Linked DNA regions of Arabidopsis thaliana. The protein of the gene in region 3 interacts with the protein of the main gene of each other region in a pairwise test. Each region holds a gene or a part of one and is shown on either strand. Other genes may lie near its edges. The genes, in order: AT5G49210, AT2G38300, DRNL and AT2G42750.

What was found.
Region 1: the proteins of DRNL (region 3) and AT5G49210 interact in a two-hybrid assay, tested with the Arabidopsis thaliana proteins (one large-scale study listed by BioGRID).
Region 2: the proteins of DRNL (region 3) and AT2G38300 interact in a two-hybrid assay, tested with the Arabidopsis thaliana proteins (one large-scale study listed by BioGRID).
Region 4: the proteins of DRNL (region 3) and AT2G42750 interact in a two-hybrid assay, tested with the Arabidopsis thaliana proteins (one large-scale study listed by BioGRID).

What each region holds. Positions count from the first base shown.
Region 1 is NC_003076.8:19,947,840-19,952,274, reverse strand, and holds AT5G49210 (stress response NST1-like protein), read right to left. Parts: upstream 2,585-4,435; 5' UTR 2,358-2,584; intron 2,202-2,357; 5' UTR 2,183-2,201; coding exon 1,766-2,182; intron 1,364-1,765; coding exon of another isoform or gene 1,358-1,363; exon of another isoform or gene 982-1,357; coding exon 811-981; 3' UTR 562-810; downstream 1-561. Other genes in the region: AT5G49200 (WD-40 repeat family protein / zfwd4 protein (ZFWD4)), read left to right, coding at 3,220-4,435.
Region 2 is NC_003071.7:16,043,426-16,048,052, forward strand, and holds AT2G38300 (myb-like HTH transcriptional regulator family protein), read right to left. Parts: upstream 2,591-4,627; 5' UTR 2,255-2,590; coding exon 2,020-2,254; intron 1,869-2,019; coding exon 1,792-1,868; intron 1,669-1,791; coding exon 1,632-1,668; intron 1,545-1,631; coding exon 1,433-1,544; intron 1,312-1,432; coding exon 750-1,311; 3' UTR 523-749; downstream 1-522.
Region 3 is NC_003070.9:8,713,865-8,717,397, reverse strand, and holds DRNL (DORNROSCHEN-like protein), read left to right. Parts: upstream 1-2,019; 5' UTR 2,020-2,088; coding exon 2,089-3,009; 3' UTR 3,010-3,033; downstream 3,034-3,533. UniProt on the Arabidopsis thaliana protein: Required for correct embryo patterning and cotyledon organogenesis. May positively regulate the gibberellin signaling pathway leading to germination, hypocotyl elongation, and leaf expansion.
Region 4 is NC_003071.7:17,791,292-17,796,252, reverse strand, and holds AT2G42750 (DNAJ heat shock N-terminal domain-containing protein), read right to left. Parts: upstream 2,989-4,961; 5' UTR 2,850-2,988; coding exon 2,601-2,849; intron 2,354-2,600; coding exon 2,225-2,353; intron 2,132-2,224; coding exon 2,002-2,131; intron 1,925-2,001; coding exon 1,804-1,924; intron 1,706-1,803; coding exon 1,624-1,705; intron 1,488-1,623; coding exon 1,434-1,487; intron 1,283-1,433; coding exon 1,244-1,282; intron 1,157-1,243; coding exon 1,057-1,156; intron 965-1,056; coding exon 834-964; 3' UTR 525-833; downstream 1-524. Other genes in the region: RPL16A (ribosomal protein large subunit 16A), read right to left, coding at 3,307-3,505, 3,600-3,795, 4,142-4,184, 4,271-4,378, 4,457-4,459.

The DNA.
Region 1 (4,435 bases), on a different chromosome or scaffold from region 3:
GAACATCTGATCTTCGCATTTGTACATATCTTCCTCGATATCGGTTAGATTTTTATGTCCCTAGATATCATAACTCTACACAACACAAGTGTTGTTTAGTACTTTTGATGAGACCGGCCTTTGTTTTTTCTTATGGATTAGCTTATAGCAAATTTTCTCCTTTTCTTGAGAGGTCTCTCAGGTTGGTCCAGCAACATTCCTCTCTTCCTTTTTCCCTCCAAATTGATCTTATCCGACTCTGTTTTTTGCGGGCTATCATCTACTTTAACCCTAGTTACAGCCTCATCTTTTCTATCACCGTAGACAATTTTTACGAACCGTTGATAAAGATTCTTGTACTTGTCGATCAAACATTGAAGAGACTTACTAAGCCCATTACTCGAATTAACTATTGGGCCTCTAGAAATTTACAAATTCGGTTCCTATAGAAAACTACAATATTGTCCCTCATGGCATTGTATAAATTTACAAAACATGTCACGCTGATAGGCCTACTAAGCCCATTACTCGATTAACTATTGGGCCTAGGTTCATTATATTCGAAACCAATGAGGAAGATGATTTACCAAAAAACAATCTTCTACTGATAACAATCAACAAGAGAAAACTTCTTATTAATGATGATATTACGACACCAGAACCACAACAAACAAGAGATTGGTCACAAGACCACAATTCTCATTATGTGCTTGATGCAAAAAGGCTAAAACAGCCTTCGCTTTCTTCTCTAAGAAAAAAAAAAGACTTGTCTTCAACAAAAGGACTAAAGTGATTGTTTCTTAAACAAAGATTCAGAGGAGAAGCTTTGGTTTAGAGAACAACGTTGTCAACCAAGGCTTCTGTAATCTTCCTCTCCAGTTCTTTTTGCTCGATCCATAGTGAACTCTGTTCACGCAGTAGCTTCTCTCTCTCTTTGATCTTCTCTTCCCTCTTTTGGCCCATCATCTTCCACATCTCTAGCTTTTCTGCTCTTTCTTTTATCTACAGTTTATTAAACACATAAACCAGTCAGTGAATCAAGCTTGAATCAGTTTTACAACTTTAAGAAGAAAAGCACTATGACCATTACTGCTCTGAGGCTGTGACCAAGAAACATGAGGAACTCAAACTAGAAATAGAAACCTAGGAGTGGTACTACTCTTCTGAATTAATTTGCAGACATAAGTACGTGAAATCAATTAATGAATCAGTGAATACTGCTTTGGTCAGTGTGTGTGTGTGCGATGTCTCATCTACCTACAGCCCGAACAAAGGAAGCTTCTAACTAACAAGTTTCACTGCCCTCAAAAGAATTCCCATTAAAAGCATCAAGATCCAGCATCAAAATCCATCTTATTTTTGATTGTTAGGTACGATGCTAAAGCTGTAACCAGAACAACAACAGCTAATGTAAGGAGACAATGATAACTACAGGATTCATCAAAACCTCCACTTGATGCTAAGCAACGTTTATCAAAGCTCTTAGTCATACATCTCCATCAGCTCTAATCTAAAGTTCTCTTCCAATCACAAACATAATACTATACCTTGAAGTTCTCTTCTATATAATACTACTACACCCTGATGCATAACTAGGAAAAGGTTCCAAATTTTCAAGAGGAAAACAACAATTTGATTCTCCACATGCTAGATGAACCTTATCCAGACAAACCCATTCTCCTATTTACTCAAGAATCATCTCACACTAATCCAACTACTTGATCAAACATCCACCATGGTTTCTATACAATAAACAAAGAACGGAGAAGAGAGAAAGTGAACTCACCAGAGTTTGCCTGAACTCTTCGTCAGCAATCTTACGTTCCTCAGCTCTAACCTTAGCAGCCTCAGCCTTCAAGAGTCGCCTCTCTTCATTAGCAGCTCGTTCAGCCAACAATCTAGCCTCATCCTTACGCTGTTTCTCAACACGAAGCATCTCAATCTCATGAATGTACTCTTTACGATACACTCGAACTTTCTTAGCATAATCTCTCCTAAGCTGAGCAAGCTTTCTCTCTGCATCTTTCGGATCACTCGGAGCTTCCCAGCTACCAATATAGTATTCTGGCTCAAGAAAATTGTGAGTCTCCTGGTGGAATCTATGGTGAGTGGCATCAGCAGAGAAAGACCTGAGAGAGCCAATCATGGAAGCATTCTCACTCTGCCTCCTCACGAAACGGCTTAGCTTATTGCAAAAAGCCATTTCACTAAATCTTCTGATTCTACACAAGGAGACAAAACGTTAAACTCAAATACAGATTCAGATTCAAAAACAATTAGATCCCTAGAAGTTTCTGGCTAAATCCTGATTAATGGGAACAGCTAGGGTCTGTGAATCGGAGAAAAATGCGAAAGTAAAATTGGTCGAAGAAGCTTACCTGGGAGGAACGAATGAGTCGTCGGAGATTTGTTTGTTTGAGAGAGAACCCAGGTAGAAGAAGAAGAAGAAGCACAACGGCGGTGAAACAAACCGGCGTGAAGCTTTTTTAGGGCTGAGAGAGAAATGAAGGAATTTTTTTTGTTGTTGTTCGAACAGTGAATATTTTATTCTACTCGAACCAAACCAATAAAACTAAACATTCTAAATCAAATATGTAAACCGAATATAACCGAATAAATTGGCTTTAATCAGAATCATAAAATTGTTAGTTATTCAGTCGATTAATTACTACATTGGCTTTAATCAGAATATTTCCTTGTTCTTGATCCATTTTTGTTGAATGAGTTAGTATTTCACTGTCTCAAGGTTTAAAAGAAGTTAGTCAATGGATTAATTACTACTTTGGCCTTCAATACTAAAAGGTTTACATCATTGTTAACATATGATATTGACTCTAGGGTGGTCTTGGCTAACAGTAATTAGACAAGTTGCGATGGACTCATCCTGATTTAGCTCTAATTAGTAATTAGTATACAGAATAAAGACCTCTTTTTTTCTACTAGTACAGAGATTTTAGGGTATAATTAATGACCTAACCTAATGATAGAATTGAACATTAATTGGACCCACGAATGATGGGCCTAAAGTTAAGCCCAATAGAAATTATTATAGCGTAACCGCCACGCTCATCTATATATACACCATTCCTCTGCAGCCCCAGATCATTCTACTCTTTACATGTTCTTTACTCCGTCTCAAAATTTCCTTTTTTTGTTGGCTCTCTCCGAACGAGTTGGAGAAATCGTTAACCCTAATCGAAGATCTAGATTCCTCTACATACGTTTGATCTCTCTCTCAGTATGGATTACAAAGCGCCAAGGAGATACTACTCACACGGAGTTGTTGCGAGACAGCAAGATTTCGCAACAGATATAGTTACGAGAAGAAGACCTTATGTCCCTTACGACCGTCCAAATAAGTTTTCAAGGAGTCTGGTTTGGACGTCAAAAGAGTACAAATCACCCGAGGGCAATAATATGCCAAGGACCAATGATGTGTCACCGAAACCACCAGTTTTAGGTTTGGCGAGGAAGAATGCTGCTTGTGGGCCAATGAGATCTTCTAGTCTCAGAAAATGGGTATGTAAGTATTGGAAAGATGGAAAGTGCAAGAGGGGTGAGCAGTGCCAGTTCTTACACTCTTGGTCTTGTTTCCCTGGATTGGCCATGGTAGCTTCTCTTGAAGGGCACAATAAGGAACTAAAGGGGATCGCTCTCCCTGAGGGTTCAGATAAACTCTTTTCAGTCAGTATTGATGGTACATTGCGAGTTTGGGACTGCAATTCTGGTCAGTGTGTACATTCCATCAACCTTGACGCAGAAGCAGGGTCTCTAATCAGTGAAGGCCCTTGGGTTTTCCTTGGCTTGCCAAACGCTATAAAGGCTTTTAACGTTCAAACCAGTCAAGATTTGCATCTTCAAGCAGCAGGGGTGGTTGGTCAGGTGAATGCAATGACTATTGCAAACGGAATGCTTTTTGCTGGAACAAGTTCTGGTAGTATCTTAGTCTGGAAAGCTACTACAGACTCTGAGTCTGATCCATTCAAATACTTGACATCTCTTGAGGGACATAGTGGTGAAGTCACTTGTTTTGCTGTTGGAGGTCAAATGCTATACTCTGGTTCTGTCGATAAAACAATCAAGATGTGGGATCTCAACACCCTGCAATGTATAATGACCCTGAAGCAACATACCGGCACTGTCACTTCACTCTTATGTTGGGATAAATGTTTGATATCGTCTTCCTTGGATGGGACCATAAAAGTTTGGGCTTATTCTGAAAACGGAATCTTGAAAGTTGTTCAAACTCGCAGACAAGAACAGAGTAGTGTTCATGCTCTTTCTGGTATGCATGATGCAGAAGCCAAACCGATAATATTCTGCTCTTACCAAAACGGAACCGTTGGCATTTTCGACCTACCATCTTTTCAAGAAAGAGGAAGGATGTTCTCTACGCACACGATCGCCACACTCACAATTGGTCCTCAAGGATTGTTATTCAGTGGAGACGAGAGTG
Region 2 (4,627 bases), on a different chromosome or scaffold from region 3:
AATTTTTGGTTTGCAACTAATCACATCCTTATACAATAAACATTTCACGAGATAAAATTTTATATAGAATAATGAACTCAAAAGATTTGATGATTTGTGAACTTTTTCTATGTTTTTTTTTGTATTATGATCTTTAACCTCTTTAATATTTACAAAGAACGAGGTGTGTCTTGTTGTTTAAGTATTAATCTTGTTCACATATAGTAAAAACCTCAAAAATAATTGGCTTCGGATTTGCATAGTGTAAAATTGTTTCACTATGTCTCTGAAAAGGGAAAAATGAGTGAAGATGGATTTTGGAAATTATTGAAAACACTACTATTAACTATAACATGTTTTGGAACTACAAAATTGTCCATGTACTGTTCGGATAAATACGAAACCAAAATTTTTGTACTATTTACGTAAAAGTCTCATCTACAAATGAATGAAGCTCACCAGCAGAGATACTCTAATCGATGTAAATTTGTTGTTATATGTATATGTAATTTTCATATAGTATATTGCTATGAGAAGACAAAAGATCGAATCATTATGATGTGGCTAGTAATATTTGTTTATATATGTGATGATACAAATTGGCGGTATCAAACAAACTCAAGACCGTTAATATAATCAAACATTTTTGTTTCCTTTCTAATAATAAAGAAAATACATGATTAATGATAAACAACAACGACACTGAATATTAAGATATCGGTAAGTACCTCAAGATCTCACTTAGAATTTGTCTCATTCTTAAATATAATTCATAGAGTCAGATCCAGAGTACTCTCCTGACCAATCTTAACCGTCCGATCCTCTTCATCTTTCATCAGTCGGCTCTTTTTCCACGAAGACGACCCTGGACATAGCGACAAGGACAACGTTTGATCCGTTGTTGTTGCTGCTGTTTCTGTCTCTTCCAAAATTGTCTTCTCCGGTTGTCTTAGCTTAAGAGATAGATCAAGATCAATGCTCCTACTTGCGTCTCTTTTGCCATTTGTCTTGCTACAATAAGAATGATTAGTGTTCTCCTCAACACCGTTATGGAACTTTTGAAAAGTTCTTGAGTGTCCTTGAATGCTGTTGAATGTGACTGAATTGGTCCGTTCGTGATGATCGTGTCGTAGTTTCGGAAAGTGATTAGAAATTGAAGAAGAGTAGATGTTTTGGAAAGACTTGTTGTTAGTCCAATAATCACTACCACGGATGTTATTGCTAACCGACGCGTTGCGGATTAAACCGGGCCTAATTTGGTCTATCAAACTCCTTTCTGTTCCTTGAGAGCTAGAGTTCCACAAAGAAGCATTTGAAATTTTACTTCCATATCTACCAAAAACAAAAGAAGACAATTAATTTAGTTTCCGAATAAATATAATTAAAACGGAATATCATTCAAATTAAGGAACACATAAAATCTAAAATTTTCAAAAAAAAAAGTTATATCAACCTGAATGGAGAATCATGGTTATGATTATAGCCTCGGAACATCGGTAGCTGACTTAGTTTATAAATATTTCGATCTGTGGAAGTCTCGAAGAGATGTTTGTGACCAGCTATAGCTGCCAACAATTCAAACCCCACTTTATTGGCCTATACATGTATAACTTGATAACTAACTAATGAACACAAATAGAAAGAATCAATACCTTGACCTTGATCATCTATCTTCTTGCTTCTGTACATCTAAAATTTTCCAATACACAATTTAGTGATTTCTTTTTTTTTCTAATTTCAGAGATTATTTGAAACGAAATCGAAAATACAACACATATATAGGTACGTTTTAGATGTATGTAGATCAAATACCTGTAGATGGCTCTTGACATGAGCAATACTAAGCCCTTTGATGTTCATCATCTGACGAACCAACTTTGGAGTTGCTCCTATACATAACCAAACATACACATTAAAAAAAAGAAAATCACATGAGGTTTTGACCAAATAGTTAACCTAAGAATAACTAAGAAATTGCTTATGCTTTTATATATATGTGGAGGAGGTGATGAAAGATGAAGTTAGTAGCTATGGACGTACTTTCTTGACCTCCAAGCCTCTCAACGGCGCGGACAAAGCGAAGATGAAGATCAGGAGTCCACCGGAGTCGAGGGACTTTAGATCTCACATAAGGCCTAACCTTAGTCTTCTTGTCGCTCTCTTCCACTGTACTATTGCTTGAAACCTTACTCTCTTCACCTTCTTCTTCTTCTTCCTCTTCCTCCTCCTCTTCTTCTCTGTTAGTCTTCCCGCCTCCCTCCATACTTGGAATCATTATTACTTCTGATGTTACAAATTCAGAAGAAATATAGAAAGAAAGTGGTAAACGATAGAGAAGTTCTAGGCTTAGCTAGATATAGGTTTTGGACGATATGGATAGATCAATCCTTTGGTTTGATATGAAAGAGATAAAAGACCAGATGAATTCTGCTTAGTTCAAAGCATGGAGATTTTGTCTGTGAACCCTAGATCAAGATACACTTCTGATTCTCTCTCTCTCTCTTCCCGGAACATGTAGACAAACCCTCACCTAAATCTTGTTGCATATGTTAAAAAGTTTTCTTTTCTGTTCACAGCTAATTGATTTCGGCCCTTTTCTACTATAGACAGCTCTATATATAAATAGTTGTATATTTTAATATGTGGATGCATATTAATATCAACCATGGAGGGAGAAAACTATTACTCCTATAAATGAGATAAATTGTTGTTTATACCCTTAACATGCCAACAAATTACAAGTAACACTTATTCTATATTATTGTTCACCAAAGGCTAAGATGAGTGTGATAGAAATTAGGCTCTATATATAGCATATTCTTAGTAGTCTTAGATTGCCTTAGTTCGTCAAACAAACATTTCGATTACAAAGATCGATATAGATAAAATTCATGTATCGGGACTAACAGTCTATGAATGAATTAGTTAGTATAAGTAAGACTATTTACAACAACAACAAAAAAAAAAAAAAAAAAAAAATTAATAATTATAAGAAAATAAGAAAGATATTAGTATAGTTGAGACGTTATTTGAGTTTAGAAGAAAACAAAAAAATGAAGAATTTTAAATTTTTTGATACCGTGATGCAGTTTCCAGGAAAAATAATTAAATACAAAATCGAATTCACAAAATTATAATATACCTCAGAGTAGTTTTGTCGGAATTAGGATCATTGATGATCGAGATCATTGTCTTTTTCTTAAGACATTTGGTTTAAAATTAATGTTAACTAAACTTTCTTTTCCTTCTGTTTTTCTTTTTGTTGCAAAATAATTTTTGATCCTCAACGATTTAAAAGATCCAGTACGTGACATGAATCAATTTATACAAAATATTAATTTATCGAAGTGAACTATACTTGATGGATTTTAAATCCTCTCATTTCTATTGATATAGCGATCAAATTAGTTAGAAAATTTATTTTTAAAATCAACCTTCTAATCTTCTGAGTACTTTTTAGTATTTAGAAAGTGATAAATCACAATACTAACTAATATATTGATTAATGGGTAGATTCATATATATTTATCTTTAAAACTTTTTGATGAGATTATGAGGTTTAGGGTTTTGCGTGGAATTGAATGCTAAAGGCAAAAAATGGAAGAGCGAGAGTGGTAGATAGACGAATAAATTACGATTACAAGGCGTGTGACTGCTCAGCTGTCTTTGATGTAGACCACATCATCACACATACCTCTTTCTTTCTTTCTTTTTCTGTTTTTTGTTCGACGAGAATCACGGGACAATGCTCCTCTCTTACCCCAAAATTATATATTATCTTTATATGTATTTTTGTAGATTCGTATGAGAGAATTAGTTTATGTGTAAAGTGGTCCTTGCTTGGTTTACGTTACACATCCGACCCCGTGAAGCGATGAATAGCGTTGTTAGTTGAGCCGTTTTTTTACATCGTTCGTTCCAAAAATATGTAATATTAACATACATAGTTATAAAATTTGACACCGTATAAATCGAAGTCCTATATGGTTTAATTTTAATTGCAAAGAAAGTCTTTTTAGACGAGTTTATGGTGATTTTTGTAATTACGATTTTAGTCATCGTAAGCCATTGAATACTACCTCTTCCGCATATTTCGACAATTAGTTTGAATATTTACCTTTACCACTTCTATTATGAAAACAATAAGATAAATACATTCTCACGTATATATGCTTATGATATAATATATTTTAGATCCAATTATGCTTTCGAAGTCCTCTTGGAATTCCAAGAAATATGAGCACTCACAAGATCAGTTCTATTAACATGTCTAACAAATTGTACTGTTTTATTTCTACGTAAATTTCAATCATAAGTTTTTGGTGCATCACGAAAACAATATACAATACTGTTTTCCAGTTGTATATATCTACTATAGATTCGGGTACATGCCATCCAATAAAACTTCGTTGCAGAATTAAATGGAGATTATGAGTTCATGAGATTAAACTATAGGCTTAAGTTCATATTTTCCAGTTAGTAAATAAAATTCTGCTAGCCAAACAAAAAAAGTTGTTCCCTACCAAAAAAAACAAAAAAAGTTGTTGAGGAGAGGAAATTGTAAGCTTTGATGAAGTAGAAAAAAGAAGAACTTTGTCATTCCCCCCACGTGTAAAGAGACTTGCCATCGATCCTTCACAAGCTTCTC
Region 3 (3,533 bases):
AATCAATAGTGTTCACCACCCTATATTTTTTTTTTCACTACTCCACCCTATATATTTCAAAGCTATGATAATACTTCTTTTTTTTGTTGTCATAACTCATAAAGTTACAAATTAATTCTTTGTAGTTTCGAAAGACGGAAGCATGCATCAAAATAGAAATATAGGATTTTCTTTTCTTAACAGTTTTCCCGTTTTCTCCATCTGACAAATTGACGTCCATATCGTTTAGGTTTAGAATATTAGTCTGATTTCTATGAATTAAAGATCTAGCTAGAGCCGATTATTCAAACTACTTCATGAATTAATCTTCTGTTGATATGTTGTACCGTGTACGTACAAGTTGATACCACCGTTATATAGGTTCAAGTTTTCCACAAATTTCCACATTTTTTAAAAGTGATTTCGATTCCTTACAAACTGAGCTCTGTGGTGTTCAGCTTCATAATCCACTAATTCCACAAGGAGCTCACGACTTCTCTTCCTTCAACATCTACTGTTTGTAGACATGATTTGCCAACGTTTTGTTGAGGAAACATAGTTTTGTTTTTGTTTGCCTCACATATTTATTCCATTTTTTTGTTTGTTATTTTTTTCTTTTCAATCTGCATATTTTTTCGCGGCACAACCTAAATGAAAAAAAAATTACATGCAATTAGATATGATTGTAAATCGTTATATATATAACAACGGCAAAATATTTAGACACTCCTAAAAGACTTCTGCGTTGATATATTTTTTTTCTCCTACGCGATATATGTCAATAATTACGTGATAAACATAATAACATACGTGATAATTGCATGCAACCCTTATATTTAGACGATTGATAATTTTTTCTCCTAGGCGTGATAAAACTTTTTTTGACGGATTTTTTTTTTTTGCATTCAACCCTTATATTTAGGGCTCGAATATGAATGGAGCTTTACAGACATTAATTGATCAAGAATGTGAGAGAGATTTAGATTATTTTTTATGTAAATGCGAAATTACATTAATTATCAAACATATATATACGAAATTAGTGGTGGAGATTGATTTCCGTAAACGCAAAGGGTCATTAGTCACAATCGAGCTACAGTAGGAAAGCCCTAAAGAGGCTACACCATGAAGAAAGAGCCCTAGTTGAGACAAATCCACGTGACTTTGGTTTACAGATTAAAAAGCAAAACCCTAAATAAGCAAATCGACCATAATCTCGTAAAAAGAACAGACAAAACACAACCTCATGTAGAAGGAACAATTTCTGCGCGCCGCCAGTGTTATTAATTCAGAATCATAATTTCACGATTTTCAACCCTCTCCTTTTAAGCTTCAACTCCAACATCATAATTTTCCCTTCCACAAACTACTGTATAAATCACTTTTAACTCTATTGCTTATTATTATTACTGTAATTCATTATTATTATAAATTAATGACCATTGATTATTTCCCAAAACACAATTAAAGAAAAGTGCGTAAAGATTAAAGAATAATATGACCAACGGAAATAGCTGAAAACGATGACCTTTGAATTTGTTCAAAAATAAATGAAATCAATGATTTTATAATTTTAATTTGTAAATTGTTCAAGAAAGTTTTCTGAAATATATTCATGTCTTTCACTTAAAACAAAAGAATAAATCGACCTTTAATCAACAGTATCAAAGGACCTTTATACTCTGACAATAAGAAAGAATGGTGCAAGGGTTAAGATAAAAATAGTACATCATAATTATGAATTTGTTACTTGTCAAAAAGACATGAAATATGTAACTTATAACTGCTTTTATGCAAGTCCGTAGAAAAGGAAAAAGAAAAGACATGTAAGTTCGAACGTGGAACAAGAACTTCGTTAAACGTACTTTTGCTTTCTGCATCTCTCATAGATTCACAACTCACAAGTCAATAAAAGATGCAATGCAAGTCCATTTTTTTAAATTATATATTGGGTCAGGTCCATCTTAAATTAAAAACAATAAAAATGTATATTTTATTTTCTATAAATACGTAATCAGCTATCATCACATTCAGGTGCCTCACAACCCTAAGACAATCACAGAACAAAAAGAAAAATTCTTAGCTTTAAAAATTTCCCTTAGGTCAACCATGGAAGAAGCAATCATGAGACTCGAAGGTGCCGAGCACAGAGAAACCAACATCCATTCTTTGAAAAGAAAGCCATCAAGAACTTCCTCGACAGCTCCTGGCTCTCCCGGAGGAGTAACTACCGCAAAAGCTGCCTCCGGCGCCGGCGCTTCCGGTGTCTCTACGATAAGGTACCGAGGCGTGAGGCGTAGGCCATGGGGTCGTTACGCAGCTGAAATACGGGACCCATTGTCCAAGGAGAGACGATGGCTCGGAACATTTGACACGGCCGAGGAAGCAGCTTGCGCATATGACTGCGCCGCTCGAGCCATGCGTGGTCTTAAAGCTCGAACCAACTTCGTCTACCCAATGCCTTCTCTCGACTCTTATCACCACCGTATTTTCTCGTCTCCTCCAATGAATATGTTCCTTCTACGAGACGTGTTAAACTCTCAGTCTCTTTCTCCGTTAACCACTTTCGCTTACCCGCCTTGTAATCTTTCTAACGTAAACGACGTTGTTCACGAGTCCTTCACTAACGTCAACGATGTCTGTGAAGATCTCTCGCCTAAAGCTAAGAGGTCAAGTACCATTGAGAACGAGAGCCTGATATCAAATATCTTTGAACCAGAACCAGCTAGTTCTGGTCTTCTTCAAGAAATTGTTCAAGGCTTCTTACCAAAACCTATCTCTCAACATGCTTCTATACCTCCAAAGAGCAACCAACAGTCGGTTGGTGTTTTCCCGACGATGCCAGAGAGCGGTTTTCAGACAGATGTTCGTTTAGCTGACTTCCATGTCGAAGGAAACGGATTCGGTCAGGTTAAATATCATGGAGAGTTAGGTTGGGCTGATCATGAGAATGGGTTTGATTCAGCTAAGATGCAGCAGAACGGAAATGGTGGAATGTTTTATCAGTATTGCTTTCATGATGATTATTAGAATATTGTTGTTGTTCTACTTTTTACGTGCTTATCACTTCACAGTTTCTTTAGGGTTGTAAGAAATGAGGTTAAGGGTAACTAACTCAAATCTTTTGTCTTTTAATTTTTCGTCTAGTGCTATGATCAATTTATCTCTATGTTTTAGCAAAGAACAATTTTTATCTGAGTATGAGCGAAGTTAATTAATTGTGTATGACATATGTCGGTTATGAGCAAAGGTAATAACAAAAATAAAGTAAAAATACTCGAGGTGCTGGATGAAGACAATACCTAAAGGACAAAAATATATATCTTGAACAAATTAAGATTTTTTTTTCTTTTCTATAAGTTGACTTCAGAATCATAAAGACAGCCTTTGTCCTCTTGCTTTTTCTTCTTTCCCTTTTCCCTCTCAGATCACCGTAAGGGCATAATTATATTTAGGTTCACAAAATCCTTTGTCCATTAAAGTATTTGCACCATCAAAACTCAGTAAACATATACTTAAGGACTCGAATTTGCATCAATGTTTATAACCCTTAT
Region 4 (4,961 bases), on a different chromosome or scaffold from region 3:
TGAGAGAGATCTCTGATACGACCATTGACCCAGAACAAAAGTGTCCTTGTCGGAGAAGAGAATCTATAATGAGGTTTTTGAGTGGTGGGCCAATCATATCCAATAATGCTCAACACTTGTCATATGGTTTATTGCCACGTCACTATCACATAATTCTCACACAATTGTTGTGCATAATCACGTTGATAACGACTTATTAGTGTATTATCTATCAAGAAACTAGTGTTTTACTATTTATTTTGTCTAGGCATAATAATTGATGAAATTACGTAATAATGAACTAATTTTTTTGAACATAAATTAACTGTTTTGCAAATGTTATATAAGATCCACCCTCTCTCTCTCTCTCTTTGTAATTTCATCGTTGCGTTCTATACTTTTCACAGACCAATATTCACTTAATTAATGTAGAATAATATTTAAAAACCTTATTAATCGTGGATGATTTATAACTTGCGTGAATAATTGTTCAGGATTCCTATATATATCGAGAATTAATACTTTAAGGGGTAAACCATAAGTATGTATGTTCACATTCATACGCTCTTGAAATCGTTTGTAAGGAAATAATTGACACGAACAATCTCAATGATCACGAGCATATTACATAACTAATGTATTTTAATTTTATCTAGGCGTTGCAAACTTTTTTTTTAAATAGTATAATACAGAAATCGAAAACGTTAAATACACTTGTTTTTTTCTTCCTTAATCGATGTGAGAACAAAGCTATACAGGTCTAGAACGCGACATGACATTTACATATATAGATATATAATCTAGTAAGAAACCTGCTTACCTATATAAACTATAAGTGATTTCTGTCTATGGTTTCAGTTGTCTCCTCTGGAGGCGGAGTCTGGGAGTTTGAAGGTGGGGCGCTTATCCACGCCTCTTCGTGAGTATTCCCTCCATCTCCTGGCTGCTGCGGCGGCTCGCTGTGCTCGTTCTTGTACTTCTTCCTCTGTCACATGACATACACCGAAATGAGTAAATATGTAATGTTGTATGATCATTAGCCAAAGAGGAAGGAGAGTTTACTATCATCAATTTTACCGCTTTTCTGGTATTCATTCTGTTTGCCCCAGAGGTTATCCCAATAGGAAGGTGTTTCATCTGTGTTTTTCCTCTTCATCATTCTACTTCTAGCTTGATTCTGAAACATAGGTAAGCACGAGGTGATGTTTAGATATTATGTTGCAAATAGTTTTCCAAGGATTTCAAAGGTGATGAAAGTTCATACCAAAACTTTTGCTTGCCTCTTTTCCCATCGAGATCTCGCCTGAAACAGGATTCAAAGACTTATCAGTTAGATGAAAATTAAAGAACAATAGGCTACATTGTTGCCAATTTGTATGTGGGAATAAAAAATGACTAAGAACATTTCAGCTTTGATCAGCTACCGAACCGAGCGGGTTTTATTTCCTTCTTACCATTCTGAAAACATCAACTGCTCCTGACCCCATTCCAGAAAGCATCAGAGCAACCTGATCAATCAATGACAATTCCAAGAGCTTAAATGCAGCAGTTCAGCAACAAATATACAATCAAGAAACCTCAGCAATGTCTTCTGTTTCTAATCAATGAACAACAAGATAGCTACAAGGGAAATGCTCGTCTTACATTCACTCTTTCAACCCTTCGCATTTCATCTTCAAGCAATGACAACTGTGCAGCAGAAGTCTGATGGATACAATCAACCGGGCTGAAAACAAAACCAAAAGCATCTCCTAATCAGTTCTCTGAAATTGCCCACCAGAAGTAACTATAACAATCAGTTGCATCTACAGAATATAAACCTACCATGTTTCAACTGCTTGCTGAACCAAATCTGGGTTGCCACGCTGATTACAAGCCCTTGCTCTACCAAAGTCTTCCTCAATTTGAAATATATCTGGAGCCACATTGGCACAATTTTTGCAGCCTGTTAAACACCAAACGCAAATGTAGTCACTTTCCAGATCATCAAAGCACGCAGCCTCTAAATTGAAGAAAGAATACCTATACAAGCAAACTCATCAACAAAAACATGATCCCTTGGGGTGGAGTCATCAAGAAAAGGATTGATGGCAGTCACTGTATACCCATGAATTTCATCGTAAACCATACGCTGTACAGGGTCACTGAGAATCTGCAATGCAACGGTAAATCATTAAACGAAAAAGCATATGGACCTTACTAAACGCTTACAAAAATCTATAAGGAAGTCAAGTAAAAAACTCACCTCATAGATATCGTTAATGAACATGCAGAAATTTGTGGTTTCGGGGTCATTGCCACTCAAGTCTGGATGGCACGATTTCATACAGTTATAGTAAGCTTTCTTAATCTCCTCCTGCGTAGCATCTGGAAGCTATTGACATAGCAAAGGAGAGTTATTAAAGTCACAATCTTTGATCTTAATGATTGTAACCTGTCAAAGGCTTCACAATTTCGACAAAGATGAATCTAGCTACAACCATATGAAATGCAGAGTATTTTTCCATGATACACAAGAAGTTTCAATCATAAGCAAACAACTTAAACCAAAAAAAAAAATCATCACTTCAAAATCCCTATATGCATATATCAAATCGGATTGAAATAGCCTTGGTTCTTACGAGTCCGAGAACGGCATAGTAATCATCGGCGACATCACCGGTGGAAAGAGAAGAAGCATCCTCAGTTGCAACTCTCAATCTTCCGATTGAATCGGTTCGCCTCTTTCCTGCGTACCGAGGTAAGTACCAAGATGAAGAAGCACCGGTGGTCTTCGCCGAGAACCGCGGCGACGCACCTGATCTGGAGCTAAGAGCTGAGTTCTGGAACTTCAAAAGATCCGTACAAACAGGGGAAAGTATCTGCGCCATTGAAGAACTTCAAAAGATCCGACCCGATCCTGTTCCGATCGCTCAAATTAATTTCAATTTCATTCGTAGGAGAAGATGAACATTTATTTGAATTAATATTTTTATTATTTTTGTGAAGAATTTAAGGCGTACGAGGGAGAAATGCTGACGTGGCAAGATAAGAACCAGGGAAGCTTATTTGGAGGAATCCGAGATGAATCTAGCGGCGATCGGCGATCGGCGAAAGCGTGCTTAGCCGTCCGTGGCACGTGTCAGCTAGTGGATTTATATGTCTCCACACGCTTCAACTACCCGCCAAAATTTTCTTATCTTGCTTATCCTCACACGAAATTAGATACTTAAATAACTGAAACTAAAGCCAATAATGCATATAAAGTACAAAGATTAAGATTCAGACAAGTAAACAAAACTGAGACAGGGTTTTCTAAAACAGAAGAAAGAGTTAGGAGGAATTGTTTTAGCCAGTGATGTTCTGGGACTTGTTGAGAATGACTCCTTCGTATTTCACCTGGAACCATTTCATTGCATCGTCTTTAGTTACTCTGTGTTGGATACCAACACGAGCCTTGCACCTTCTGCGACGTGCTACACGGTAGCCAGGACGTTCTAGGACCACATAGAAGTCCATACCATAGATTCCAGTTGATGGATCGTACCTTTATAAGAAGTGAAACAAAGATCAATGAGTATCACCAAGAATGTGGTGAACCCCAAGTGTTATGACAGGATGATTTAAGGGGATTGACTTACTTGATACCCAAATCAATGTGTTCTTGAATACCAAAACCGAAGCAACCAGTGTCACTGAAGTTTCTTCTGAGAAGTTCGTATTCCTTGACTTTCAATCCACTTTCAAGTAGTTGCATTGCCTTCTCACCTCTGACGGTTACATAGCATGCGATCTTCTCGTTACGTCTGATACCAAAAGAACGAACAGTGTATCTAGCTGCAAAAGCCACACATAACAAGGGTTCTTGAAAATTGCAATGGAAGAAGCTAAACCAAATCATGTCTCTCAGAGCAAACCAAAAGCGATGCATATAAAACAGAGTGCACAACGCAACTATATCAGAAGCGGGGAAACGAACAGCTCCTAATTTGGACTGGTAGGCTTATCAAGTTATCACAAACCACCAGATAAGGGACTTACTGGATTCCAAAATCTCAAATTCATCATCAAACCATGCACCCATTCATAGACTTAACTAAACTATGTTTCCCAAATTCTTCTAGATTACTAAATCTATCAACCAGACTATTTGTAAGCTTTCAAATATGAGAAAAAATCTAACCTTTGGAGAAAACAGGAGTCTGACCACTCAATTGTTCCAAAACCTACCAAGTAACCACGAATCAATCGATTATAACCAAGTGACAACAAGAGTGAAAACCACAGAGAATGGGTAAAAAACAGGAGGAACCTTGGAGGCTCTGGTGAGACGATCTCCACTCTCACCAACGGAGATGTTGAGAACCAGCTTCTGCACTTTAATGTCCCTCATTGGGTTCGATAGCTTCTTCTCCGACGCCTGAATTTCAAAAGTAAGTAAATCTTCAAATCCCTATTCACATTACAAAATCATACAAATCCAAGAACTGAAACTTACCATTTGGAATTTGGGTTGCGAAATTATCACCGGCCGACGGGAAAGGAGAGACGGAGAACGAAACGACTATTTAAATGTTAGAAGCCCTAATCCTAAGTGTAAAGAACGGCGACTATTTAAATGACAGTTTTACCCTTAAAGGCCCACGCTTCTCTCACGTGACTTTCTTTCCCAAACAGACTACTTACCTTTTCTTCATCAGTCTTTCTGCTTTACTCTTTCCTCATGTGGAAATGGAGGAAATTGCTTATAATAAGTTGTTTCAGTTTCTTCGTCTCTTCTCTTAAACTTTCCAAAACCCTAGTATTCGATGTTTTCACTTTTGATCTCACGATTAAATTGGTATTGAAAGTGGAGAGCTTTCACGACTCTGTAGCAAGTAGCACTTTAGCAAGGTATGTTGTCTGCTCTGTTTCGTCTTTTTCATTTCTATGGTAATCAATGTGATTGAAGAGATACATGATAACTTTTGTATTAGACTTTGCATTGTATGAAAAAGAACAGA